Canis lupus familiaris: one gene and its partners. The protein of the gene in region 1 interacts with the protein of each later gene in a biochemical or structural test. Links are inferred from orthologs where the notes say so. Each region holds a gene or a part of one and is shown in the gene's direction. Other genes may lie near its edges.

Evidence for each region.
Region 2: the proteins of ERBB4 (region 1) and NRG2 form a complex in vitro, tested with the Homo sapiens proteins (2 studies listed by BioGRID). The link is inferred for Canis lupus familiaris from reciprocal best matches to the Homo sapiens genes ERBB4 and NRG2.
Region 3: the proteins of ERBB4 (region 1) and SYK form a complex in vitro, tested with the Homo sapiens proteins (2 studies listed by BioGRID and IntAct, with this or other methods). The link is inferred for Canis lupus familiaris from reciprocal best matches to the Homo sapiens genes ERBB4 and SYK.
Region 4: the proteins of ERBB4 (region 1) and PTPN6 form a complex in vitro, tested with the Homo sapiens proteins (2 studies listed by BioGRID, with this or other methods). The link is inferred for Canis lupus familiaris from reciprocal best matches to the Homo sapiens genes ERBB4 and PTPN6.
Region 5: the proteins of ERBB4 (region 1) and PTPN11 form a complex in vitro, tested with the Homo sapiens proteins (2 studies listed by BioGRID, with this or other methods). The link is inferred for Canis lupus familiaris from reciprocal best matches to the Homo sapiens genes ERBB4 and PTPN11.
Region 6: the proteins of ERBB4 (region 1) and ABL2 form a complex in vitro, tested with the Homo sapiens proteins (2 studies listed by BioGRID and IntAct, with this or other methods). The link is inferred for Canis lupus familiaris from reciprocal best matches to the Homo sapiens genes ERBB4 and ABL2.
Region 7: the proteins of ERBB4 (region 1) and RASA1 form a complex in vitro, tested with the Homo sapiens proteins (2 studies listed by BioGRID and IntAct, with this or other methods). The link is inferred for Canis lupus familiaris from reciprocal best matches to the Homo sapiens genes ERBB4 and RASA1.

Annotation. Positions count from the first base shown.
Region 1 is NC_049258.1:19,996,440-20,000,596, reverse strand, and holds the start of ERBB4 (receptor tyrosine-protein kinase erbB-4), read left to right. Parts: upstream 1-1,334; 5' UTR 1,335-1,494; coding exon 1,495-1,576; intron 1,577-4,157. UniProt on the Homo sapiens protein: Tyrosine-protein kinase that plays an essential role as cell surface receptor for neuregulins and EGF family members and regulates development of the heart, the central nervous system and the mammary gland, gene transcription, cell proliferation, differentiation, migration and apoptosis.
Region 2 is NC_049223.1:34,247,973-34,251,680, reverse strand, and holds part of NRG2 (pro-neuregulin-2, membrane-bound isoform), read left to right. Parts: intron 1-3,435; coding exon 3,436-3,607; intron 3,608-3,708. UniProt on the Homo sapiens protein: Direct ligand for ERBB3 and ERBB4 tyrosine kinase receptors. Concomitantly recruits ERBB1 and ERBB2 coreceptors, resulting in ligand-stimulated tyrosine phosphorylation and activation of the ERBB receptors.
Region 3 is NC_049222.1:96,632,694-96,636,401, reverse strand, and holds part of SYK (tyrosine-protein kinase SYK), read left to right. Parts: intron 1-441; coding exon 442-651; intron 652-1,632; coding exon 1,633-1,822; intron 1,823-3,708. UniProt on the Homo sapiens protein: Non-receptor tyrosine kinase which mediates signal transduction downstream of a variety of transmembrane receptors including classical immunoreceptors like the B-cell receptor (BCR).
Region 4 is NC_049248.1:8,004,770-8,008,477, forward strand, and holds part of PTPN6 (tyrosine-protein phosphatase non-receptor type 6), read left to right. Parts: intron 1-1,523; coding exon 1,524-1,655; intron 1,656-1,778; coding exon 1,779-1,933; intron 1,934-3,708. UniProt on the Homo sapiens protein: Tyrosine phosphatase enzyme that plays important roles in controlling immune signaling pathways and fundamental physiological processes such as hematopoiesis.
Region 5 is NC_049247.1:10,376,901-10,380,608, forward strand, and holds part of PTPN11 (tyrosine-protein phosphatase non-receptor type 11), read left to right. Parts: intron 1-400; coding exon 401-468; intron 469-978; coding exon 979-1,130; intron 1,131-3,708. UniProt on the Homo sapiens protein: Acts downstream of various receptor and cytoplasmic protein tyrosine kinases to participate in the signal transduction from the cell surface to the nucleus. Positively regulates MAPK signal transduction pathway. Dephosphorylates GAB1, ARHGAP35 and EGFR.
Region 6 is NC_049228.1:20,505,193-20,509,406, forward strand, and holds the start of ABL2 (tyrosine-protein kinase ABL2), read left to right. Parts: upstream 1-1,224; 5' UTR 1,225-1,444; coding exon 1,445-1,601; intron 1,602-4,214. UniProt on the Homo sapiens protein: Non-receptor tyrosine-protein kinase that plays an ABL1-overlapping role in key processes linked to cell growth and survival such as cytoskeleton remodeling in response to extracellular stimuli, cell motility and adhesion and receptor endocytosis.
Region 7 is NC_049224.1:21,307,666-21,312,098, reverse strand, and holds the start of RASA1 (ras GTPase-activating protein 1), read left to right. Parts: upstream 1-1,549; coding exon 1,550-2,019; intron 2,020-4,433. UniProt on the Homo sapiens protein: Inhibitory regulator of the Ras-cyclic AMP pathway. Stimulates the GTPase of normal but not oncogenic Ras p21; this stimulation may be further increased in the presence of NCK1.

The DNA of each region.
Region 1 (4,157 bases):
AACCACATTTATACCTTTGGACGAGAATCTGTTTAATGAGAATGAACCCCATACAAAGTTGTCCCAAGTCCAAGGAAAAGGTGAAAAAAGACTTACGAGGTCTGAAAAGCAAAGGCTGTAGCTATATAAATGCCGTCAGTTCGGCAGGGTGGGAATTGTGGGAGGGATGGCATAGTTGGAAAAACGGGTGATTGTGTTCCCAGGACCACCTAACCGGCAGAGCCTCCCAGCTCCCGAACCACCTTTTTAACTACTTTCTGAGTGTGCAGCAGCATTAGAGGTTGGAGAAGGGTGAAGGCTTTATGCCCGAAGCAACGTTTTCTTTTCTTCTATTTCCAGCTCCAGTCTGTGGATGAGCACTGTGTGTGGGGCAGTAGAGAAAACGGGGACTTTCTGGTTTAAGGAAAAGAAAAAAAAAAAAAATCTGTGAGCAACCCTGCGGTGGTCTCCGCGCTCGCAAGCCGCTGTCTAGGGCCTCGGCGTCGGTCGGCTGGGTCGGGCGAGCCCTTTAAATCCAGCTCCCCCGCCCCCCGCAGCACGCGCCCGCTCCCAGACAGGTGTTTTCCCAACTCCTGAGACTGAGGATTTTGGGGAGAGTACGAGCCAATAAGATTCCCCTCTGGGGGGTGGGGGGCGGGGAAAAAGGCGGGGCCAGTTGGGTCAGAGCGGGGGCGGGGCTCGCGGCTGAGCCGAGCCAGCCCGGTTGCGTGGAGGCTTGTTTTATCCGCCCCCCCTCCACCTTTTTTTTTTTTTTTTTCCCCCCTCCCGGAGTCTTATTAATTTCTCGGTGGGGCTGCAGCTGGAGACCGCGGAGCGTTGGAAATGACGCTCGGAGCTTTAATTACCGCAGCCGCCGGACAAGTGTGAGGAAAGCTGACGGGAAAAAGAAGGACAGGATCGGGGGAGAAGCGAGAAGCGCCCTCCCCTCGCCCCCCCCCCCCCCCCCGCCCTCGTCCTCCCATCCCCTCCCAGTTGGGACTGGAGGTGCAAGGAAACTGAAAAGGGAGCCCAACATAGCCCGGCTGCGGGGAGAGGCCGGAAACCTACCGCCTCTTTGCAATCAACTTTTTTTGGAAAGCCTTTTCCCCCCTTCCTTTTTATTGTTGACCAACCAGTGCGAGAAAGTGAGGAGGGAGCGAGGACGCGGAGGCTCGCACGGGGGAAGCGCTGCCCAGTCCGGCCCCGAGCGGCACGCGCACACCCTCGGGCGCACGGCCCCGCGCACACCGGCGCGCACGCCCCTCCTCGGGCCCCGGCCCCGGCCCCGGCCCCGGCTCCCCGCGCCCCCGCACCCCGGCCCCGGCCCCGCCGACTCGGACTCGGACTCGGACTCGGACTCGGACTCGCACGCGCACTCGCCCTCGGCGGCTCCAGCTGGGAGCCGGTGCACCGCGCCCCGGGCGCGCCGGACTCGGGGCCCTCCTCCGCGTGCCCGACAGGGGAGATGCCATTTGGACATGTAATTGTCAGCTCGGGATCTGAGACTTGCAGAAAATGAAGCTGGCGGCAGGACCGTGGGTCTGGGTGAGCCTTCTGCTGGCAGCGGGGACCGTCCAGCCCAACGCCTCCCAGTCAGGTGGGTGTCCGGGGCTCCGCGCCCCCCGCGCCCCCCGCGCCCCTCCGGCCTCCTCCTCCTCGGGCTTGGCTTCCCTTCCTCCCTCCGTCTGTCCGTCCCCAAACTTAGCCTTTTTCGTGTACCTGCGTTTCACTTACCGTGAAATGTCACTCTGCGACCCTGTCCCCCCTCCCTTTTCCCCCCTTCCTTTCTCCCCGACCCCCTTCTTTCTTTCTTTCTTTCTTTCTCCCGCGTTTTCGGGGGAGCCTAAAAGCGGGATCTCTGCGGGTCCTGCCGGTTGTGCGGGCCGCGGGACACGCGGCTCCCGAGGCTCCCGAGTTGGACGGTCCCGCCGTGCGGGCGCCCCGAGAGCGAACGCCTGGCACCGGCGCGCGGGGCTCCGCAGGGGCTGTCCCCGAGCCGGCGGGCGGCGCACCTGTGCGGCCGCGGGTCCCTCCCCGCTGGGGCGGCCGCCAGCCTGCGCGCCGCCGACTCGACGGAGCTCGCTGGCCCGCGGGCTCTCTCTAAAGAAAAGGGGGGGGGCAGGGAAGGGGTTTGACACCCTGAGCGGGAGCCCGGCCCTGCCGTCGTCGCCCGGCTTGGCTCCGGGAAGAGTTCTTCCTGTAGTTCAACTTCTATTGGCCCGAGTCCCTCCAACTTCGCTGTTTACTGCCCGGCGCGGCTGCCGAGCCGACCCGGGGCGCGACCCGGTCCACCCCGAGGCGGGAGCGACGGCGCCGCCACCGCCTCCGCCTCCGCCACCGCCACCGCCACCGCCTGCGAGAAGGCGCGAGCCCGGGCACCTGGACGGGCCCAGGCCGACCGCCCCCGAGGCCCGGGGTGGGCTGGCGTCCGCGGCGGCCAGGGCCACGCACGGCACCTGCAGGGCGAGGCTGCTCAAAGTTTTTGACACTTGAGTTTCCTGGGGATGAAAGCGGGGCGGGAAAGGACGGAGGCCGGTGGGTCTGATGCCGCCAAAGGGGGCCTTTTGCAGAGCGGGGGGGATCTCCGGAGCCACCCCGGGCTGGTGGCGGGAGCGTGGGAGGCAGCTGGGAGGGTGAAGCCCCCCGGGAGCGCCCGGGAGCGGGGCTCGGGCCGCGTCGGGCCCCCGGAGGGCGTCCCCCTGACCTCACCGGGAGCCGCGCGCCGCCTTCCGCGCTCCGCCCCCGCCGCTGCCGCCTTCCCTCCTAGCCTAGTAAATAACAAGTCGCAGGCGCCGAGCCTTTCAGAATGACCTTCGAGTGGCACCAGCGTGCGCCGTTGGTGCTCGCCGTTTGCACCCTCCCGATCCTCGGGAGTCCTTCATGCGCACCGGGTCGCGCGCTCAGCCGCCGCCGGAACCGCACCAGCCCCGACCGCGGATTCCAGGCGGCCTCTTAGATACGTGCCTTTTACCTCCTCCCTCCGCACTCCGAGTCCCTTCGTATTTTCCCTCAATGGGTCGATTATGCACATTGACCCATTCAAAAGCGTGTGCGACCGACACGCAGACTTAGGCGAGAGGGATTTCTCCGAGTCCGAGGCAGCCCACTGGGGGCTGTCGGTGCAGCCTCGGCCGCTGGGGGACCCGGCTCCGAGTGCGCAGCAACTCGGTATTAACTGTGTGGCTCAGGGGTGAGCTATGCCGAAAAGCCCTTTTCAGAATTTCTGCAAAGAATGCAATCCAAATTAGTTCTGCAGCTGTCCCCTTCCTCGTCTCCGGCGACACCGCCTCGCGCCCTCGCTGGTCTCTTCTCGCTTCCCCCCGCGAATGGTCAGACCCACAAGTGAGCCCCTGTAGAGCGCGGGGATTAGCGTGCCATTGTTGTTCTGTGTGTGACTCTGCACTTGAAATTCTAGGGGCACAAAGGCGAGCCTCACTTGTTCAAAACACAGAGTGATCCAGATGAAAGGGCCGCACAAAGAAAAGCTCTCGGTGCATCCCTGGTACAATTGCAACACGCATGCTAAGGTGATCCACTGGGAACTGTAAATGCCCCTGGGGACTTCTTTCTTCACCCTATTCCCCTCCTCACCCCCCCCCCCCCGCCCCCACCACCCCTGCCGCACCTGGCAGGGAAAGTTCAGCTGGTTTTAATACAGTGCTTTCACGAAACCAAGTTACTGTGTGGAGTGTGAGTGAGGCTGTGTGTGTCTGTGTCTGTGTCCGTGGGGCTGTCTGTTCCCAAGTAAATACATACTGCGTGTCTCCCCTCTCGCGGTTAGCAGTCAGTAGCAGTTTGGAGGAGTTTGTTTTGGTCCAAATGAGAAATTAAGTGCGGATAAGTAAACTAAGCTGCCAGAGGGCGACAAGATGTTGAGTGAATTGCTTTTAGATGAAACAAATTAAGGAAACGAGGGAAGACAATCTGCTTCTCGCATTATTAGACACGCTTGGAGTTCAGGGGAAAGTGGCATATTTTTGAAATGCTAATTTCTTAAGCAGAAGGAATGCACCTTATTTACTGCTCTATGTGAACAGAATAAAGATATGGGTGGAGGGAGGATTCTGTTGTATAGATCTAAGATATTTATTAAAATAATTATAATGGGAAAGGACCTGTTTTTATTTTTTCTTCTCTTGCTTGGGAAAAAAATCAGCTTTAGAGAAAACAATTTTTAA
Region 2 (3,708 bases), on another chromosome or scaffold:
ACTATGTGATAATACCTCATGTTAGGGAGGGTGTGGAAAAAACAGGCACTGTCATTCACCAGTGGGAGTGCAAATTGGTGCAACCTTTCCAGAAGGCAATTTGGCAATGCTTAAAGCTGAGGAAGATCTCATACCCTTTTGATGCAGCAATTCCACTTTTAGGAAGATTGCCCTAGGAAATTATTGTAGATAGTAATAAGCAGTAATAGCTAACCTTTGTTAAATGCTCTGTGCAAGCCAAGCTTTATGTGCATTGTTTCAGACAATCCTTACAGCTGCCATCCCATGAGGTCAGAGCTGTGATGATTACCCGTATTTCACAGATGAGGAAACTGAGGCACAAAAGGATTAGGTCAGCGGCCTGAGGACAAAAAGCTAAGTAGCAAAGCCTGGTTTTGAATCTAGGCAGTCTGAGTCAAGAGCCGCACTGCCTGTCCAGCAGTACATGCTAGATGTGTGCGAAGGATGAACACTGTGTGTCCTAGCTGGGCACACTGAATATATGTACTGGATGAAGCTGGGCCTGTTTGTAATGAGGTGGCAGTGGGGAGAAAACATGCTGAATACTCCAGGAGAGGAACTGGTTACATCAATTATGGCACACCAATAAAGGAATATTATGCAACCATGAAAATGTTTAAAAATATGTGTGTGAATACTAGAGTTTTTTGTCTAGGCATAAAATGTCTCTGAAATGATATAAAAGCAACTGATAAAATTGATTGCCTTCTGCAAAGGCAACTGTGTGACTGTGGTCAGAAGTTAGAGGGAGACTTTGTTTTTTTTTTTTTTTTAAGATTTTATTTATTTATGAGAGACAGAGAGAGAGGCAGGCAGAGACACAGGCAGAGGGAGAAGCAGGCTCCATGCAGGGAGCCCGACGTGGGACTCGATCCCGGGTCTCCAGGATCACAGCCTGGCTGAAGGCGGCGCTAAACCGCTGAGCCACCCCGGCTGCCCAGAGACTTGTGTTTTAAGTCAGAAAGCCTTTTACACTTCTTGGATTTTGAATTATGTGAAGATATTATTAAAATATGTGTGGATAGATGATAGATACATAGATAGATAAAATGATAGATGATAGATAGATAGATAGATAGATAGATAGATAGATAGATAGATGATAGATAGACCAACGCCAGTTAGGTTATAGAGCTATTCCATTTAACTTTATTTCCTTGCAATTCTATAAGAGTTCTGAGAAAAAAAGTTGTGAGACCCTTTTTGGGAAATCATACCAAAGTCAGTGATGATACTTCGTTAACTCTCTTGACCTACCTGCTCCCCAAATTGGTTTGTTCATGGAACCCTTTTCTCAAGTAATGTCTATTTATTATCATCTCTCTGGATATTCACGTCCCATAGACATTAGTGTGGGAAATGCTGTTGCTAATAATCAAGGCCAAACTCAAAGGCTTACATTTCTTTCATTTAATGAAAGAAATGTGTTACTGATGCTGATCCCATTTATTTACAATGCACGTGTATGGGTGTGTATCTTACTTCTGGGTAAAATTGAGTATTTTTATTTTCTTTTATACATCTGTATTTTTTAATTTTCTAGAACGAACAAAGCATTTCATAAGCACTGTCGTTTTTTTAGTCTATGTAATATCATTTTTGAAGCTTCAGGAGCTCTTTCTCTTTCTGCTCTCTCCCCCCAGGCACCTTCTCCCATCTACTGCCTGCTTCTAAGCAGCCATGCAGGGGTAGGTTCTGTGAGGGAGCCCTGGCGATAGCCAGGCCCTCTTGGCTGCCTTCCTCCAGAGTCAGCCGAGACGGGACCGTTCATTCCCGAGACAATTCCCTGGCCCTAACAGACCCTCCCTTCTGCTGATGGAAGAATTTCAGTTATTTTCTCCATTCCCCCAAAAGAGACACAGGCTGTAAAAGCAGACACCAGCCTGCTACAGGCCCATTGTGTTGCAAACACAAATACCTGTGCTTTGGATCTGCTCTGTAGCTGCCTGGCTGCCTGGCTATGTGACCTTGGTCAAGTTTCTTAACCTCTCTGAGTCTCATCTTCCCCATCTATGTCGGCAATGACACTTGCCTCACAGAGCTCAGGGAGCAAACGAGAGCATGCATGAAAGCATTGTGTAACCTATAAAGGGCTGCCCAGTGGAAATTATTACATACCTCAGCAGGAAACATGGGCTTGCCCTTACCTTCCTGAGAACAGAGTACTTTTTCCTTTTTTTTTTTTTTTTTTGTTGTTGTTGTCAAGGGGAGGGCAGCAAAGAAATGAAGCATGGGAGACCTGGGCATGTGGAAATAGAATTCTGTGTAAGAAAAATAGGAGAAGGGCCACCTGGGTGGCTCAATGGTTGAGTGTCTGCCTTTGGCTCAGGTCGTGATCCCAGGGTCCTGGGATCGAGTTCCACATCAGGTTCCCCTCAAGAGCCTGCTTCTCCCTCTGCATGTCTCTGCCTCTCTCTCTCTCTCTCTGTCTTTCATGAACAAATAAATAAAAATCTTTAAAAAGAGAAGAGAGAGGAGAAGAGGAGAGAAGAGAGAGAAGAGAAGAGAAGAGAAGAGAAGAGAAGAGAAGAGAAGAGAAGAGAAGAGAAGAGAAGAGAAGAGAAGAGGAGAAGAGAAAGAAGAGAAGAAAAGAAAAATGGGAGAAGCTGCTGAGCCTAGCATTTGCCTGGAGCCCTAGTGGGGCCTGTGTCCCCCAGTATAGCCCCAGGCCTTGTCCTCCAGATGGCTGCTCCACCTGACCCATTCACATCAGCCTACCTCTCCAGACCATGTGATTCTCCTAAGCCACAATGCTGACTCTGCCTGGCTCACTCCCTTCCTGCCACTCCTAGGGTCTTAGCATCCCTTAGCTCTTGACTAAGTTAGCTCTTCCCCCAATCTGGATTGAGGTCCTTCCTCTGGTTTCAGCACCTCCAAGCCTCCAGGGGCCATGCTGTGATGCTAATGCCAGGTTACGGCCCTTCTGCCAGACCGACCTCCCTAAGGGCAGGAGCTGTGTCTGTCATCTTGGTCCTCCTGTGTCCTCTGGGCCCAGCCTAGGCCTGGGCATCTGGGACAGGAGTTAGATCATGAGCATCTGAGTCAAGGGGATCTGGGTTTGAATTCCCAGTTCACCTGGAGAAAGTGACTTCTGCATTCTTAGCCTCAGTTGTCCCCATCTGTAAAGGGGTTTCATCATTGCAGTGAACTCGTGGGTTTCTTTTCCTAAGCTAATGTATCGAAAGCCCCAAGTATCATTGCAAGTGTGAGGGAAGCTTCATAGGTAGTAGCTACATTGACACCACCGCGGACCCTCTGTGAACAGTAATTGAACTGAACTGGGAAATGACACCAGGAGGGTAGGCTCCCCAGGCCACCCTTCCACCTCCTGAAGACAGTGGCCTTCTTTCTGCTGCTTGTGCTTGGCACTGCACCCCTGCCCCTGTGCTCACCTCCCTGCCTTGTACCCCACAGCCACCCGGCCCAAGCTGAAGAAGATGAAGAGCCAGACCGGACAGGTGGGTGAGAAGCAGTCACTGAAGTGCGAGGCAGCAGCGGGCAATCCTCAGCCCTCCTACCGCTGGTTCAAGGATGGCAAGGAGCTCAACCGCAGCCGGGACATCCGCATCAAGTATGGCAACGGCAGGTAAGATGCTCCCCTCCCTCTCTCACCCCTCCCTCTGTCCACCAGGCTGCCCTCACCCTTCCTGAAAAGGGGGACCGGCTTCAGTCCTCCCTCCTGGCCCT
Region 3 (3,708 bases), on another chromosome or scaffold:
TCCTTAAATCTATCAATGCTCAGTTTTAAAAAGTGTTTTGTAAATTTTGAGCTCTAACAACATATGCTTTTTAAACTCTGCATCTGGAAATTAATTTTTAACATATATCAAAGGAATGTTATATTCACTTACATTACAGTTAATCTGAGATGGTACATCTGAAGATGCTGCAGGAATCCATGCATGTCACAGTTTGTGAGGTTTATTTGAAAGTCATTTACATATCTTGCAATATTGAGGCTCTGCTTGGTTGGGACATTCTTCAGCACCCCCTCATTATTTGTAAATCAATGCAGGATTCTCTCTTTGTCTATAAGAAGAGAGAACACAGTTGCAGGTATCTCCATTACATCATTTCTACCACAGCATTTATGCTTTGTAATTACCTGGAACTTAGCTGCTTTGAAAATTTTCTTATGAGGGTTATGATTTCTTATGCAGAGTCGTGAAAACAGTGGCTGTGAAGATTCTGAAGAATGAGGCTAATGACCCTGCTCTTAAAGATGAGTTGTTAGCAGAAGCGAACGTTATGCAGCAGCTTGACAACCCTTACATCGTGCGCATGATTGGGATCTGTGAAGCCGAGTCCTGGATGCTGGTCATGGAAATGGCAGAACTGGGTCCACTCAATAAATATTTACAGCAGAACAGGTATCTTTAAGTCCCCCAGAAGCTGATACTGTGATAGGGCAGAGCCCTCCTGCCCAGTGTACGTAATAGCTTTAATTTCTGTGGGAGGCTCTCTCTCCCCCCTTGCCTTCCTTGTGTTGGCCCAAACTCAGTGACCTTAAGGGTGGATGGAAGAGAGTCGTAGTCTTTGGATCAGATACTCTTTTAACCCTTATTGTGCTAAGGAAGACTCTAATCCCACAATTTAGTCTTCATTCTCCCTTGCTCACTCTGTATTGCCTGGTGATAGAATCAGCCTTAGAATATCTCGGTAATCAGTCTCCCCTCACTAGGCAGATCATGCCCACCTTAGTGAGAGAAATATTAAAATAAACATTTTGAAAGGGGTAACTAGTGACGTCTTACTCATCTGGCTGACCTCTACCTCTACATTCCCATGAGTAATTCCAAAAATAATCTGATGCTATTAATGGATTACAACCATTGGTAGGATATTCACGCTGTGCTCATCTATGGCCACTGTTGAGATGAAGGAACTCACATGGAATAAGTCACAATAATAACCACTGGTTACTTTGTCCAATTTGATACATCACGTGTGTACTCTACTTAGATTGTGTGTCTAATCTGCACAGAAGAGAGGTGCCATTAGTCCCACTTCACACATAAGAAACTGAGACTCAGAGCTGGTTTTGTTATCAGTCCGATATTGAAACGAGGATTCCAGCCAAATCCTAGCTGTCTGTGAGTCAGGTCTGTCCGTTCCATTACACTACTTTTCATGTAACTCAAAGCACACCTCGAAAATCGTACCAGTTGAATACCAGGTTAATGGTGCTTGGTTTTGAGCAGCTGTAAGTCAACAAGGTTGTTTGTCACCACTTGTTACTCTTAAGAAGAATAGGAAATGAGTGGATCCCTCTGCCTACACAAGGAGCATGATTGGTTGGTCCCAAATGGAGTACTGTTCACCACCACTAATGACACATCTGTAACTTTCAGGCACGTCAAGGATAAGAACATTATAGAGCTGGTTCATCAGGTTTCTATGGGAATGAAATATCTGGAGGAGAGCAATTTTGTGCACAGAGATCTGGCTGCAAGAAATGTATTGCTGGTTACTCAACATTATGCCAAGATTAGTGATTTCGGACTTTCCAAAGCACTCCGTGCTGATGAAAACTACTACAAGGTAGGAATAACTTAGCCAGTATGCCAAGCAGCAGGTGGTGAGAATCTGAAATGCAAGTGTTTGTGTTCTTTATTTGATTATGGAAAGGGTCTCAAGAAGCAATTTATCTATGAAAAATATGTAAAAAATATTCTTGTTAAGCTTTGATTATATTGTTTTTAAAAATGGTAATACTCTAAAATATCATGAACTGAGTTCACTCAGAATATTAGCTTTCAAACTATATTTCTGGGAACAAAAAAAATCAAGGTATTAATTGATAATTCATTAAAAAAAAAAACAAGAATAGAATTCCTTCCTTAAATTACTTTGGAAAAATGGGTTGAACAAGTTGATTCTTGTAGGATATCTCAGAGCTCCTCCCTGACCCCATAAATGAACTGATAGTAACTAAAGGAAGGCAAAAACTTAAGAAAGCCCCATATGAACTCAGTTACAGTGTATGTGAGTCTATGTGGATCAACTGGAAAATGTAATGGGAATGGAACCTAGAAAGTGGAAGAGGGAGCCAAGGACAGATTTCCAGCTCTCTAGGTCCCTGGGAATGTCCAACATCCTCAGGAATTGATGGCACACCTTGAAGTCTCACTTGTGAATGGCAGGATGGGGGGTGGGATTGACCTGAGCTCCACATTGTGGAGTTCCTGGTACCCCCACTCCCCAACTACTGGCTTCTCTCTGAGAGGGCCACCATGCATACGGCAGATGAGGACAGCAGACCTCAGCTTGGGGTCAGCATGAAGGTCAGACAGGAGCAGAGCTGTCTGGAAGTACTCCATTGTCCATAAAGAAGCTGGTCCCAGAGCACAGCCCCTTCAGTGATGAGCCAGGGTTAGAAAAAGCACCGAGTGAGCCATTTGCAGAGACGGCTGGGAACTGGAACAAAGGAACCAGCAGAGTGACAGCCACAAGCACATGCCAGAGAGAAGTAGGTTTTCCATCAGGGGGCACTTTGGAAACTTTCATCATGATAATTAAAGAGAGAAGAAAATCTAGGCACTGAAACAAAGACTCACAGAGGACATAGAGAAGTGGAGATAACAAATCATCCCCAAACTTAGTGCCTGAACACAATACCAAGTGTTAATTTATCCATAGTTCTGCAGTTTGGGTGTGGCTTGGTGGGAGGGCGCATCTCTGCTGCACACAGTGTCTCAGGGGCCGTCCCAGGAGGGTGGAAAGATTCATACCCGCTCTGCTCACTCACACAGCTAGAGCCTGATCTCACCTGGGCTGAGGCCTGGGACCTCCGCTGGGGTGGACCCATCCATTACTAGCTCACCAGCACATGGCCTGTCCATGCTGCCTTGGCTTCCTCCCAGCATGGCAGCGACCGTGGGTGGTCCTGAGAGTCAGTTACTCAAGAGGCAGGAAGTGAGGCCACCAGGCTCCTAAGGCTGGACCCATGAATTGGTTCAGAGTCACACCCACCTCATGCTACACAGGTCAGAGCATCCACAGCCCAGCCAAGATGCAAGGGAGGGGAAAGGACAGGCCCACCCCTGGTAAGGACAAAGGTTAACATGAGGGCCAGTATTTCAAACTGCCATAGATATTCAGCAGCACACTGTTGAAAACTAAACCAGTAAATCTCTGAAAACTAATGAAGAAGAGAAAGAGAATATTGAAGACACTAAAAAATAACAAGCCAAAAGATCTGGATCAAGATAGTGAGGTAGGAGACCTTGGCCTCCATCCCACCGAAAGATCAACAATTAGACAGCCATTCTTGAAGGAGACAGCTCTAGGAGAGTGTGGGAATCCACTTCAGAAGCTTCAGCAACACGGGGCAACAACAGACCTCAGAATAGCTGCACAAAGAGAAAGGAGAAGAGTGTCATTTTACCTGCACGACACCATCTCCAGGCTGGCATCGCTCAGTATCA
Region 4 (3,708 bases), on another chromosome or scaffold:
TTTTTTTAAGATTTCATTTATTCATTAGAGAGAGAAAAAGCACATGAGTGTGTGTGTGTGTGTGTGTAGGGGGGGGAGTGCAGAAGGAGAGGGAGAAACAGATACCCCACTGAGCAGGGAACCCCATGTGATATGGGGCTCCATCCCAGGATCCTGAGATCAGGACCTGAGCTGAAGTCAGACGCTCAACTGACTGAGCCACACAGGCACCCCCAGACCCAGGTTTTATTTTTTTTATTTTTTTTTATTTTTTTATTTTTTTTATTTATTATTTATGATAGTCACAGAGAGAGAGAGGCAGAGACACAGGCAGAGGGAGAAGCAGGCTCCATGCACTGGGAGCCCGACGTGGGATTCGATCCTGGATCTCCAGGATCGTGCCCTGGGCCAAAGGCAGGCGCCAAACCACTGCGCCACCCAGGGATCCCTTTTTTTTTTTTTTAAATTTTTATTTATTTATGATAATCACAGAGAGAGAGAGAGAGAGAGAGAGAGAGAGAGAGAGAGGCAGAGTCACAGGCAGAGGGAGAAGCAGGCTCCATGCACCGGGAGCCTGACGTGGGATTCGATCCCGGGTCCCCAGGATCGCGCCCTGGGCCAAAGGCAGGCGCCAAACCGCTGCGCCACCCAGGGATCCCTAGACCCAGGTTTTAAATGGGCTTTCTTCCTTAAAGTGTCCCTTGCCAGAAGCAACCTGCCTCCTGTCCTCTCTGCCTCATAACTCTCTCTGGAGTCTGCCCCTCACCCTCACCCTCACCCCACTGCCCAGCTGGCCTCCCTCCCTGTGGGCTGCCCCCTCCTCCCACATGTCTGCACAGAAGTCAGAGGGGTCCCTCTTAGAGCATGCACTGCATCAAGATGCTCCCTGGCTCCCTGGGAATTTTTCGGTGGCTCCCAGTTGTCTTCCGGATAAAGTCACACTCTAAGACCTGGCACTCAAGGCATGGTGGCTTCCCTACAACGTTCCGCCCTGCCTCAGGTTCTCACGCCTTGGCACAAGCTTGCTTTCTGCTAGGAAAGGACTTCCTCTCTCTGTACTATCTCTGCTGGACAGACTCCTCATTTTTGAAGACCCTGCTCAAATGCTCCCTCCTCTGTGAAGCCACCTCTGATTTCCTCCATAATCTAGAGGGAGGGTTACCCTCTCCCTCTGTACCCTGTGCCCCTGAGTGGCTCTGTTTTCCCTGCTCTGCTGTCTCTCTGTGAATACATAGAGACATAGAGGCCCAGATTGCTTTGTAGTTATGTTTGGGACTCCAGCATGGTCTGTACAACTTCAGATACGTTGTGTGCCCCAGCCGGTGTTTACTGAATGAATTGTAAGGCCAAGTGGCTCAGTCAGGCCTCACCACCTGCTGGTGGCCAGCAGGACCAGATCCCCCCTCTGACTCTTGGCCAGCATCTCCATTCATCCAGCAAATGTTAACTGGGCCAGCACCAGGGACTCAGGATCTCAAAAGGGGCCTGGAACATGCCCCCATACATTCTGTGCCTCATTTCTCACTGCCACCCTCCCTTTGCAGAACAAGTGTGTCCCGTATTGGCCAGAGGTGGGCACTCAGCGTGCGTATGGACCCTACGTAGTTACCAACTGCAGGGAACATGACGCTGCAGAGTACAAACTCCGTACTTTACAGGTCTCCCCACTGGAAAATGTGAGTATTCTCCACTCCTGCCTCACTCCTGGGGCCCTTCCTTGGATCTGTTGTTTTGTCTGGTTGGGTGGGATGGGGAGATGTGTGGGAACAGAGGGCACTGGCCCTATGCGCTCTGCCCAGGAGGACCTGGTTCGGGAGATCTGGCACTACCAGTACCTGAGCTGGCCTGACCATGGGGTTCCCAGTGAGCCTGGAGGTGTCCTCAGCTTCCTGGACCAGATCAACCAACGGCAGGAAAGTCTGCCTCATGCAGGCCCCATCATTGTGCATTGCAGGTGAGAACAATAATGATGTGAGTAGTAGTAATAAAAATAAAAGAGAGGTCCTGAGATCAGGACCTGAGCTGAAGTCAGATGCTCAACTGACTGAGCCACCCAGGCACCCCCAGACCCAGATTTTATTTTATTTATTTATTATTTATTTATATTTTATGATAGTCAGAGAGAGAGAGAGAGAGAGAGAGAGAGAGAGAGGCAGAGACATAGGCAGAGGGAGAAGCAGGCTCCATGCACCGGGAGCCCGACGTGGGATTCGATCCCGAGTCTCCAGGATCGCGCCCTGGGCCAAAGGCAGGCGCCAAACCGCTGCGCCACCCAGGGATCCCCAGACCCAGGTTTTAAATGGGCTTTCTTCCTTAAAGTGTCTCTTGCCACCGAGGCAAGATAAAAAACAAAAAACAAAAAACAAAACAAAACAACTTTTATTTTTTTTCAATAAAAATAAAAGTAGTAGCTGGCTAGTAAATACTGCTAACTCAGTGCCCTGGAAGCACTAATTTACATGTTAACGCATTAAATGCCTCCGCCTGCTCATGGCCTCATCCGGGCTCCTTGATGGTTCCAGATCCAAGGCGGAAGCGTAGCTTGAGCTAACCCCACTGATTGATCCTGTGCCTGAGGGGTGGCTTCTTTAGAGACTTCCCTGTACGTACCATCTCACCCAACCCTGCCAAATACCCATGAGGAAATAGGCCCAGCGACTTGCCAGCTGGCCAGCGGGAAAGTGCACTGACGCTCACCACACACCTAGGCTCTGGTCGCTCCTGTTGTCTCTCACGGGCTTCCTCAGCCTGTATTTCTTCTTGGGCCCTGCCACCTTCTATCTGGGGTCGGTGTGGCTCTCCATTTTTTCTTTTTTCTATCCATAGCCCCAGGGATGCTTAGCCTTCCTCTTTCTCCCCCTTCCCAGCTAGTGACCCCAGCTTGGCCTCCAGGTTGTGTGGGGATGGGTGATGTCTTCCAAAGGGGCACATGTATCTCTAGGTCACTGGAGGACCTCGTGTTCATGATCAGGAGACCCTGTTCCTGCTAGGCAGCAAGGGGGGTGCGGTCAGCAAGGAGGAGTGAGGGGCAGAGTCCTCACTGACCTGGCCTGGGTCCGTGGGGGGCCGTGGGTGCAGGTTCCTGGACAGACACCGTAGATTAAAATTCTGGCTCTTCTACTCACTGGCTGTGTGTGTGATCTCAGACAAATTACTTCACTTCTCTGACCCTTAGATTCCTCATTTGTCACTGCAGGCTCTCCTGTGGTTGATGTGAGGATTCAATAAGCCCCCGTCCCTGTGTCTGGAACGTAGTAATCCCTCAAGAAATGGGAGCCGTTGCTGGTTTAATAACTCCCATTAGGCTGGGAATGGGGAAATGGGAGCCTGCTTCATCTGCTTCCCTTCCTACTCCCTTCAAGTGACCCCAGGCTGGGGCCTCACATGTCTTCCTTCTTCCCACCAGCAACTTTTGCCCTGGGGCAGGGCTGGGTGGGCTGAATCTGGGGGTGCCCCTCACATGTCATCTCAGGGACTCTGCCTCTGGGGGCCGGCCCATTGCTAAGTACGACCCTCCTGTTACTCCCCTTCCACTTCTTGAAATCCCCATGGCCTTTATTTAGATGTTACAGGAAGGAAGTGGGTAAGGGGGGGTTATTTTTGACAATCTGGGTTTGAAATTAGTGCAACTCAGGCCACTAGCCTGGCGGCCCCGCGAAGCAGACAGAACTGGGGTCTCTGAGGGATCCTGAGTTTCCTGGGATCTGTTTGCTCTAGGATGCTGGTGGA
Region 5 (3,708 bases), on another chromosome or scaffold:
TAGCTGTGTATGAAACTTTTTCAGTTTTTTAAAAGCTACTGTTTATTGAGCATGTGCTCCACTCCGGCCTCTGTGCTCAGTGTTTTCCATACATTACTAACATTTGATCCACACAACAACCCTGTAAAGTATGTGCCATTATCTGCATTTCACAGATGAGGAAACTGAAGGTCAAAGAGGTATGGGATTTGCCTTGGGAAGTCCTAGAGAAGCTGGGCTCCACGTGTGGATTGGACTAACCCCAAAGCCCTTAGCTAATCTATTCTCAAATACAAACAGGCAGTCTTATAAATACTCTCAAGAGCAGACATTGTTTCTGTTCATATTAATAGTGTGGGTTTGAGTCCAAAACCCCTATGAATGGCTCCAGCGTCATTGCTCTTTGTCCTTCTGTCCACAGTGCTGGGATTGGCCGGACAGGGACGTTCATTGTGATTGATATCCTTATTGACATCATCAGAGAGAAAGGTGGGTCATCTGGAGGGCAAGAAGTTGTAAGTTCTTTTTTAGTTTATGGAAGGAAAGTGCTAGTGAAAATAGCCTGGAGGAGAGAATTTGAATGTTAAAACATTTTTAAAAATCTGGGCTGAAGACTTTGACTTTCAGTTGTTTATAGGAGAACAAAAGTGATTCTATTTGAGCCTTTGACATAAAATGAAGCCCAGGAGCCGTGGTCCCGCTGCTGTGGTCTTTTGTTGAATATGCAGTGGTGGTCTCTGGGGTGGTGCTGATGGAGAGTCCTGACCTCCGATACTTAATCAGATCATTTTCTGGAATCATTTGTATTAGTCAGAAGGCAGTGTAGCCCTTGAAACATGTTCAGTTAGAACATTAAAGACTACATTTAAAAAAAAATTAAAAAAAAAAAAAAAAAAGACTACATTTACTATATCTCTGAGTCTGCTAAAAGTTGTGCATTAAACCACTTCATCCTGGCCCCACAGTTTCTCCTAATGCTTCATGGTGCTTGCTTTGCAGGTGTTGACTGCGACATTGATGTTCCCAAAACCATTCAGATGGTGCGGTCTCAGAGGTCAGGGATGGTCCAGACAGAAGCACAGTACCGATTCATTTATATGGCTGTCCAGCATTACATTGAAACACTACAGCGCAGGATTGAGGAAGAGCAGGTACCAATCCTGGAGGGGGCTGGTGTGCATATTTGTACTTTCTTTTCTGGGCAGCTCTGATACACTCTGCTTTTGAGCAGGATGGGCCTCTAAGAGATAGCTGTTACTGTTCAGGAATGAGAAACTCATTCCCAACCAGGAAGGGCCTCTCTGGAAACTATTCCCCACTTCACAACTCTGGTATTTCAGCAGAGGGTAGCTTGGAGATAGCTGCTATCATCCTGGCCTGGCAGATTGGGGAACTGCCACGTGGAAAGGTTAGGATTTTCCCAGACAACATCCCAGGATTCTCACATGGCAAGTTTGGAAATGAAAGCCTTGAAGTTTCCAGCCTGTTCCTGTTTAGATCCAGGCCATCTTTATCCTGATCCCATCTCTTAAACAAATGCTTCACTCTTCATAGCACATAGCAGTTTGAACCATAAACTTGGTTGAGTTGGAAACAGTGAAATTTCAATTTTAATAAGCCATGCATAATGAAGAAGAATGTGGAGTTGGAGCATTTCCATTTGAAGCTATTCATAACAGACACAAAGCTGAGTTAATTAAGAATACGCTGAGATGAGGGAAATGAGGAGACTGCTCCTTTGGGGATCTGGGCATCTCCCCCCCACCCCCCCACCCCCAACTGCTCTGCTGCAGACAGGGGAATGTCTAAACAGCAGTGATATCTGCCTACTTTACCCTGTGTATTGCCTTCCAGAGAACCCGGCTTCTCAGAATGGCACCTGCCAGCGAATTGAGAGACTTCTAGCCTAGCAGAATAGCAGCCACATTATCAAAAGCTTCATTAGCCAAAGTAAGATATCTGTCAGCTTAGTAGGTTCTCAGTTCACATAAAAAGACTAGATTATGGGGTGCCTGGGTGGCTCAGTCGGTTAAGTGTCTGACTCTCGATTTCAGCCCAGGTCATGATCTCAGGGTTGTGAGATTGAGCCTGGCACTGGGCTCCGTGTTCAGTGCAGAGTCTCCCTCTGCTCCTCTCTCTGCTCGTTTGCATTCTCTCTCTCAAATAAATAAGATCTTAAAATCCAAAACACTAGGGGCAGCCTGTGTAGCTCAGCGGTTTAGTGCCGCCTTCAGCCTGGGGCATGATCCTGGAGACCCAGGATCGAGTTCTGCGTCGGACTCCCTGCATGGAGCCTGCTTCTCCCTCTGCCTGTCCTCTCTCTCTCTATGTCTCTCATGAATGAATAAATACAATCTTTAATAAAAAATTCAAAACACTAGATTGTTTTCGTTGTACAAAAACATCTTCAGCAACGGTGTACGTATAGAAATATAAGGTCAAATAATCAACATGGTACCAGTTTTGACCTTCAGTGCTTTAAATCTGATTTGGTGTTATCGTAATTGTTACAAAATATTTAGATGGTTGCTATAGGCTATTTTCTATTTGTCTTCCAATTATACTGAATTTGGGCCAGGAATAAAACATGAAGTTGCCCATATAGAAAGACCTCCTAATAAATACAAAGAGAATGTAGCACACTATTGGTACAAATTCAGGAATATCTTGAAGCATATAATCTTGTTTGGAAAAGCTAGGGGAAAAGCTCTCTTTATTTCATTCAGAAGTTTTGGTATTTATCCTTGTTTTGGCAACTTTAGTAGGGACTTCCCCAGCCTTACAGCACTTGAGATCTTCTGAATTACCGTATATAGTCTCTCTGACCCTAAATCTCAAGATGTAATTTGGATTTAAGAACTCCTTTAAAGATAGCTTTATCGGGCAGCCCTGGTGGCGCAGCGGTTTAGCGCCGCCTGCAGCCCAGGGTGTGATCCTGGAGACCGTGGATCGAGTCCCACGTCGGGCTCTCTGCATGGAGCCTGCTTCTCCCTCTGCCTGTCTCTCTCTCTCTCTCTCTCTCTCTCTCTGTGTCTCTATGAATAAATCAGTAAAATCTTTTTTTTTTTTTAAAGATTTACTTATTTATTCATTCAGAGAGAGCTACCCTAAATCAGTAAAATCTTAAAAAAAAAAGCTTTATCACCCCAGGGTCAGGAGGGGGTAGAAAAAAGCAGAACATATTCCTTGATAATTTAAGTCTTATAGAATATCGAAACTGGATGTCACTGATAATCCTATTTGAAGAGTGCTTCAAATGAATGCATGCATTCATTCGTTCAGCCAGTACTTTTTGGTGCCAATATGTGCCAATATTGTCCTTATTAGCACATTAACTGCTCTTTGGGATCTGAGCCTTCAGAGTTTAAAAAGATGGGTTGGGGGATCCCTGGGTGGTGCAGCGGTTTGGCACCTGCCTTTGGCCCAGGGCGCTATCCTGGAGACCCGGGATCGAGTCCCCCATCGGGCTCCCGGTGCATGGAGCCTGCTTCTCCCTCTGCCTGTGTCTCTGCCTCTCTCTCTCTCTCTCTCTCTCTGTGACTATCATAAATTAAAAAAAAAAAAAAAAAAAAAGATGGGTTGGCTTATTCATTTTTAAAAATGAGATCCTATAACGTGTAGTTCCATTTAATTCCATGTATGAACTTACTACCTGATTTTGTGGTAGAATTAAGAAGTACCTTCTTCTGGTAGAAAGCTTAAGTGGTAGCCTTAAGAACTAGTGAAGCC
Region 6 (4,214 bases), on another chromosome or scaffold:
AGGTGTGTAAAGGAGAGCCGCATCCGCCTTTCCCCCCTAAACCTACCTTCCTAGTGAATGTTTTGTTGCTTCTTTGAAATGTCTCCTATCCTGTCTGCTTTAACTTTAAGCATATTTTCTGTGTGGAACCTGTAATAACAGATACTTTGTATTAAGTAAATAAGGAAGTGAAAGGAAGAGTAAGAAGATAGTTACCAAGTTCCTTGAGAATTTAAAAAACTGGATCAATATTAAGATGCAAGCGTGTGCAGTGGGACAATGATTTGTGAATATTTGTACATACACATGTGTTTGCATGTATCCAAACACTGCTGCTTGAGTCACTCTCTTGGGACAAAATAAATTAATGATGAGTAAGTTCAGGGTCAAAGAGAAATTTTCTTTTTCTCCTTTGTCATCAAAGGAAGACCAGACCACGGGCACGGTATATAAAGCACACCAGTGGCACCATCAGCTTTACTGTCGAGCACTGTAAGGGTAACAACACGTGGTTAGACGGTAAAGGAGTTCAAAAGGAATTCATGGTAATACGAGGAATGGGGCCGTAAGTGTCTCTCCAATGAGGCTGCAGAGTGCAGACAACGGAGGCGAGGACAATTTAACATCATGAAAGGGTCTCAAAAAATTGCAATGAAATAACGTACCTTTTTTGTACGACCCTCATGTACATTTTGTATAATCTTAGACTAGGCCTGCTGAGAACGGTGTTGAAAAGGATCCTCCCGGGCGTTTCAGGGATGCTCACCTGGATGGCAAGCAGCAAACGCCTTGCGCTTTCCTGTCCCAACTGTGCCTGCTGTGCACCTGGGGCGCTCCGCGCGCGCCTGATGGACTTGACAGGTGGAGGTGGGACCGGGAAGGCTTTCGACCGTGCACCTCCGAAAGGCGGCAGCACGGAGAGCCGGACGTGGGAGGGGTCGGCGGAGACGAATCCAGACCCCGCAGGCCCGGGGGGCGCGAAGGGCGGGAGGACCCGAAAGACCCGAAGGCGTGGAGGAGGCCGCGCGGACGAGGTGGGCGCGAGGGGGACCCCCCGGCGAGGAGGCGGGGCCGGGGGCGGGGCCGGGGGCGGGGCCTCCGGGAATTCCTCCCTCGGAGAAGCGGAGGTGACTGGCCGGGAGGGGGGGCGGGGCGGGGCGGGAGACGCTCTGTCCCACGCTCTCCCAGCGCTCGGTGGTTTAAAGATGGCGGCGGCGGCGGCGGCGGCGTTGGGGGCGCGGAGCCGCGGGAGGAGGAGGCGGGGGGAGAGTCTGTGAGTCGCCCAGAGGCAGCGCGGCGGCTGCTGCGAGGAGTCCGCGTGCGGAGCCGCCGGCGGCCCGAGCGCTCGGGGCCGGGGCCTGGACTGGGAAGGAGAGGCCGGAGCAGCGCCGGGAGCCCGAGGCCGGAGCCGAGGAGGAATGTGACCTGGGGTCGGCGGGGGGCGCGGGAGTACGCGAGCGCAGGGATGGGGCAGCAGGTGGGCCGCGTCGGGGAGGCTCCGGGGCTTCAGCAGCCGCAGCCCCGCGGCATCCGGGTCGGCAGTGTGGCCAGGCCCTCCGGCCGCAGGCGGGACCTGGCGGGGCGCACCGCGGAGGCCGGCTTCAATATCTTCACCCAGCACGGTGAGTGTGTGTGGGAGCGGCGTGAGGGCGCGGGGAGGCCGGGGGTGGGGTTGGGGCGGGGTGGGGAGGAGACAGGCGGCCCTGGGGGGTCGGGGGGTGGCGGGGTGCCTGAGAGTGGGGGCGGAATCCGCTGCCATCTGGGCCAGTCACGGGAGTCGAGTCACACCCCTCCCCCCGCCCGCCTCCAGCCTGGCTGGCAGCTCCCGGGGGCGGAGAAGGAAAGAGCAGTGGGCTCAGGGACGGTGGAGGGACTGTCCTCTCCCCTGGGACAGACTGTGTGGCTCGGGGAGGCCGGAGGATAGTATCGCCAGGGGAGGCAAGGATGCTGGGAGGTGTGAGCTCAGTCCAGTAGGTGTTCGTGTAACCCGGTCGTCTGCGAAGGGAATGGGGTTGTGCCTCCAGGGATTTGGAAATAGGAACCGCATCTCAGGAGCTACTGGCGTATAAAGTATACACACATATAAAGTCAGACTATGAGCAGTGTCAGAAGAGAGAGCAGTGACCAGAAATACTCTAATATGGCAAAGATAAAGGTAGTATCTCAGCGCTTTTGAGATTCCACCCCCCTTCCCCCCCCCCCCCCCCCCCCCCCCAAACTGGAAATGAAAGGCTTTGCCAGGCTGTCCTATGTTCTGAGCTCTTGGGTAGGACTCAATTCTGAGAAGCTGGCAGGGGTTAGAGGTTGGTGGGCATGGTTAGGACTTTGGATATGAACAAGAGTTTTCTTCCTGCAGTCTGTGCATGTGTACATAAATCCTCTGCAGTCTGGAACCTATTACTTTGGTCTTATTATCGAGGTATTTTTAGAATGATTGTCTCCGAACTCTTTTGATCATACCCTTTTATCAGTAAAAGAGCACGTACTCCAAGAATTCGTTATCTGTTAATTATATATGTACTTGTTCTGCTGTACCAGTACGTTATGTAACTTATGAATGCACACAAATAGAATTTAAGAAAGGGTAAGATGAAAAAAATAAGTAATGAGAGTTCTAATTTATTTTTTTTTCCCTGCAGCCCAGTGGATCCTTTTGCACTATCTGAGCTGCACCCACACCACTTTTGAGACCACTTTTCTAGAGGAAGGAAGAGTGGAGAAGGGGGAAAAAGAAAATTGACCTTCATGGGGTTGGAATACCATGAGACTTCAGGCTGAAGGGGTAGATGTGACTTAATATATAAAAGAGGACTGGGTAGTTGAGGTTGGATGAGTGGTAGCAAACTGGAGTTTTCACTAAGTAATAAAGGATAAAAGAGACATGGTTCTATAATACACAATGTACAGAAGAAGAGGAAGAAAAAGAAGTGTGAATTATTTGTTAGAAATGGAGTTTTGGAGGAAGTGATGATAGATGGTAGTGTGCAAAGAAAGAGATGAACCCAAGGAACTGTGGCTTTTGGCTGAGTTGTATCCGAGAGCTCTGGGTTTGGACTTTGTGAATATGCTGAGTTGTTTCTAAATGGAGAAGATAAGTGATTTGGGGCCTTTCAGGTGTTACATGTGTACTATTAAAGATGTGAGTGAGCTTCTCTTCCAGATATATGAACATTTTATGAAGGTGCTATATGTGAGTTAGTCTTTATTAAAATCACTTTTTAAAGCACTGGAGGAAAGAATGGATAATAAGTTTTCAAGGAAGATCATCCAAGTTAGCCTAGTTTTGTGGGAAGTGCTAGTGTACATCAAACTTGGCCCAGTAGGCGACAGTGATTCTCTTCCTCCAGGATCTTACTGAAGACAGACTTTTCAGAGAAGGAGGAATATCATGAAGAATGGAATAAGAAGAGATTTTGAAGGGTGGATAGGTTTCGAATCTCTTGAAAAAGGAAAAGAAGGCAGGCTGGGCAGGAGAAACAACTTGAGCATGAACAATGGGAATTAACATGATTTGCTGATGGGATAGTGAGGAGACATCTGTTGGGAGTGAAGCAAGTCCTCCAGGAGTGAATCCTAGAGGAAAAATTGCAAGAATCAAGTTCTGGTCCTAGCTCTACTTGGCTGCGAGATTTAGTTACTTGCCATCTTTGGGTTTATCTGCAAAATACTGGACTGGTTGATCCCAAAGGTACTTTCTGACTCTTAAGATTTTATTATTCTAATTGAAGCAGTGCCAAGAAAGCTTTAGATATGTTTAACTGGGCATGGGTGATGGAAAATGTGGCAGAGGATTTTATATCAGTTTACCTGATTGGCTAATTCATAGAATATATTAACAAACCCAAGTATGAAATGCTGAAAGACTGGCTTTAAATGGAGGCAAAGGAAATAGGACAGGAAAGTTCGAGAGATATTTCATTCATCCAATAAACAGAAGTTTTTTGAGTACCTATTATGTAACTGAGCTTTGGGAATATTGCTTTAAACATAAGAGACCCTGTCCTTGTAGAACTTAAAGGACTTCGTGATTCAGTATAGAAGATGAAAGAATAGAGATTGTTTTGGAATATTAAGGGCCATTGTGTGTGGGTTTGAAAACTGGCTTAACTGTTTATTTTTGTGACCCTAGGCAAGTTATTTAACCTTTTTATGCCTTGTATTCTCCATTGGTAAAATGGGGATAAGAGCACCTAATAATAATAGTACCTAGATTAAATTTTTTTTAAGATTTATTT
Region 7 (4,433 bases), on another chromosome or scaffold:
CACCCGCTCCTCTACACACGTCATTAGTGCCCAAGACCTGAGATGGCACAGGTAATTGTGTGTGTGTGGGGGGGGGGGGGCGGGGAGGGACATGACAGAGAGGAGAGATGGTGCTGTGAGTGAGGAAAACAAAACGTGTACGGTCTTAGAAATCAGAATTTGCCACTATTTCTACCAAAATTCTTAGCCCCCCCCACCCCGTAAGGCTCCCCTTATCTATTTCCTTTACTTCTCTTGAGTTTCAGAACGTAGTTTGAATTTTTTTTTTTTAAATACGTAGTGGGGGATCCCCGGGTGGCTCAGCGGTTTAGCGCCTGCCTTCGGCCCAGGGCGTGACCCCGGGGTCCTGGGATCGAGTCCTGCATCGGGCTCCCTGCGTGGAGCCTGCTGCTCCCTCTGCCTGTGTGTCTCTGTCTCTCATGAGTGAACAAATAAAACCTTAAAAATAAAATAAAATAAAACACGGAATAGTCATATAGTGATTTCTAGTATGCGACGAAAATCAAACAAATCGATAGCCCTGCCACTCCCCCTCGGCCCCGGGCCCCGGCAGCGCCGCTTCCTAAAGGCGTTATTTTCCACCAGCAGGAAGCAGGGCCCCGGCTCCGCGGCATCTTCCTTGCCGTCTTCCTCGGCGCTGCCCCCTCCCCTGCAGCGTCCCCGCCGCGTTCGCGGAGCCGGGCCCCCCAGCCCTCGGCCCGCCCCTCCGCGGCGCACGCTGACCCGGGGCGGGGCGGGGCGGGGACGGGGCGGGCGCCCCCCCGCGGCCGGTCCCCCGCACCGCGCGCCCCCGCCGCTTCCTTCCCTCGGGCCCAGCAGCGCGGCCGCCCCCGCGCCAGGGCCGCGCCTGCGCACAAGCCGCCCCGGCCCTGCTCCCCGCCCTTCCTCCCGCGGCCGGCTCCTCCTCCGGCGCCCCGCCTTCCTTTCTCTCTCTCTCTCTCTCTCTCCCTCTCTCTCTAGTCGGTTTCCGCGAGCGCTCCAGGTCGGCAGCCGCTCGGCCCGCTTCCCCGCCCCCCGCCCCTTCCTCTCCTCTCCTCTCCTCTCCTCTCCTCTCCTCTCCCCACCCCTCCCGCCTCCAGCCCCGCGGAGGATGCAGCGGCCGCCGCGGCCCGGGCCCCAGCAGCGGCACCGGCGGTGGCTGCGGTGGGGGTGGCCGGAACTGGGGTGGTGAAGCGGCGGCGGCGGCCGAGCGGGCGGCAGCCGCGCCAGCCGCTTCCTCTGTGCTTCCCTTCCTCTCTGGCGCGGCCAGGAAGTTTCTCACTAGTGTGCATGTGTGTGAGTGTGGGTGTGCAGGCTGAAGGTGCGGGTTGGCGTTGGTGCCGGCGGTAGGTTTTTTGCCCACTCGGCTTCCCGTAACCCGGGCCGCTCCGGAGCCTGGGCTGTGGCCCGAGGAGGGGGCGCGGCGGCGGGCTCGGTCCTTTTGTTGTCGTTTCCTCCGCCCGGGGAGCCGCCAGGGGGACGCGCCCGGGTGGGGCGGCTGGGAGCCCGGGCCTGCTGGCCCCCGGGGCTCCCGGGCGAGCGTAGAGCGGAGAGCGGAGCGGGCTTCAACATGATGGCGGCCGAGGGCGGCAGCGAGGAGGGCGGCCCGGGGGCGGCGGGGGCGGCGGGGGGCGGCGCGGCCGCGGGCTCGAGCGCCTGCCCGGCGGCGTGCAGGGTGAGGATGCCCGGCGCGCTGCCCGTGCCAGCCGTCGCCTGCTCCGGGCTGCCGGAGGCCGGCGGGGCCGCGCTGGGCGCCGGGCCGGGGGCGGGAGCCGTGGGGGGAGCCGGACTGTCAGGGGGAGGGGCCGGGGCCGGGGCCGCCGGGGCCGGGGGAGAGCCGGCCCTCGCCAAGGGCACCGCTTCGCTGGCTGCGGACACCTTCGGGGCGGGCGGCGCCTTCCCCCCGCTGCCGCCGCCGCCTCAGCTGCCCGCCCTGGGCGCCGCCGGCCTGGGAACCGTGGACGAAGGGGACTCCCTGGATGGACCCGAATACGAGGAGGAAGAGGTGGCCATCCCCCTGACCGCGCCTCCGACTAACCAGTAAGTGCACGCAGCCGTCCCGGGCCCGGGGACGCCGGCTCCTGGGCACAAGTGCGAACCCCTGGGACCTGCAGCTTTTCTTGCAGTTGCGATCCGTTGGTGAAAAAGTTTGGAGCCTTCGGGGTTGGCGTGCGTCGGGACTTGATTGGATCGCTCCTCTTCCCTGAGGGCGTGCACGCTGCCTTCGGCGTCTTTTGCATCTTTCTGGTTAGACCCTGGGAAGAAGTGAAGTTTTTGAGCTAGGAAAGCATGGAGAGTGGGGGGGGAGGGGGGGGAGGGGGGGCATGTGTATCCATCGGGAACCGGATACGGTGCTGCCTTTTCCAAGCCGAGGTTGCGTCCCCGGGGCTCAGCTGAGCTTGCAGCTGCCCGGGCCGTAGAGTCTCTCTCAGCCTGTGCGTGCATTCCCTGTTGAAGTCAGGTTATCCTTAGTCATAAGGCTTTGGGTATGCAAGTATTCCAAGGAGTATGGTATTGATGACCATTTTAAACATGCACCGGTCAGAAGGCTTTGCCTTTGTGGTGCTGTGCATCCCCAGCCTTTCGGAGGCAGAGCGATGCAGAAAAGTCTTCGGGTCTCTCCTGAAGATGTGGGTCGGCGAGAAAGGAAAGGAGTTCTGCGAATTACAGGTGTGGTGAAGGGTCTCTCTCCTCTTACGGGGTCTGTGACGTAGGCCGTGAAATTCCCATTTATTGATAACAGCCTGATCTTTTTATAGTTGAGGCTTTGTAAGCACAGTTCTCAAGTAAAATTGTCAATACTTCAATACTTTGTTGGTGGCCAGTGCAGTGTTCCATTTGGCAATCAGTTGCGACGGTATATTGCAGGGCATTTAGGGCAAATGGCTTTTTTCACACGGTGAGTACCTTCCCCTTGTTCCCTCCATAAGTGAACATAGGTGTGTGTTTGTAAAGGTGGACCTTGATGAGAGGAGAGTGTTACTGGGAAGGGGTAATAGATGGCAAAACCGTTCTTACGGATCCTTCACATCAGTTATTATCTGACCTTTAGAATTTCGACAGCCTTGGTGTATCAGAGGAAAAAATATTTGGTTCATATGATGACATTCACTCTGGACAATTGAAAGTATTTGTTTGTTTTGGATAAGCTTTGGAGGATTTAGAAAGGACTTAGAAAATGATTAGAAAAAGATTCTGTGATAATCCATTCTTAACCTAGGGCTACATCTTTTGATATTTAAGGGGGAAAGGTAAAAGTAGCCTGATTTGTGTCAGCCGTGGTATACTGCTCAGTAAGAGTTTAATTTTTTTGTCTAACTTTATTCCAACTTACCATGTTATGTGTTTGTTTTATAGACCTCTGAAGGTGTTCTGGGAGTGTGAAAAATTTGAATTTTACAGCACTGTTTACACACCTTCAAGCCTTTTTGAAAGAATCAGTAAATATTTAAGCGCTCACTACATCACTCCATGCTCAGCACTAGGGTTATAATAAAGTGCAACTTTTCATACTGAAAGAAGGCAGTCTTTTGCCAGTGTTTGTAACTGAGTTATATTAGGCATATTTGTATATTGTAGTTATAAATTTTTTTAAAAAAGTGATTTTGTGGAATGGTTTTAGGTTCACAGCAAAACTGGGCAGAAAATATAGTGTTCCCATTAGATTTTTCAGGATAAACATGAAGGAGTATTTGGAAAAATTTTTAGAAGTCTATTGTGTGAGGTTTCCATCATCATTAATATATATTTGGGAATAAAAATAATACTTGCATGACTGTATATATGAGAATCGTAAATGTTCTGAAAAGTATCCTCCATTTCAAGTATGTTTTTTAAATTTGTCACTGAGGAGTACAAATTACCCTCTTTTCTTTATCTTAGATATCAAACCAGAGTCACTGGAGGCAATACAGTGTAGTGTTTAAGGGTGCAAATTCTGAAGTTAGACAAGATTTGGGTTGGAATCCTGACTCTACCACTTATAACTGTGTGATCTTGGAAAGGTCAGTTTCCCCATCTGTAGAATGGGGATAATAATGGTACCTCCGTCATAGCATCGTTTTTAAGATTTAATGAGAACCCTGAAGTATTCAGTCAGCACAGTGCTTGGCACATAGTAAGTGTTCAGTAAATAGTATGCCAAAGTAACAGTAATATTTTATTGCCATTAAATTGCCTACTGATTCTATTGGTACAGGGAACTCCCTCACTGATAGTTACTTTAGGCAATGGTTCGTACTCCAGAGGTCTAGCTACCATGGTTAGCTATATTAAGAATTATGACTTCATAAAGGTTTCCATCAGGTTAAGTAGGTTTAGAGATGAAGTTCAGATCTTTTCTATGAATTCCTTTTTTTAATTTTTTTTTATTTTTATTTATTTATGATAGTCACAGAGAGAGAGAGAGAGAGAGAGAGAGGCAGAGACACAGGCAGAGGGAGGCAGAGGGAGAA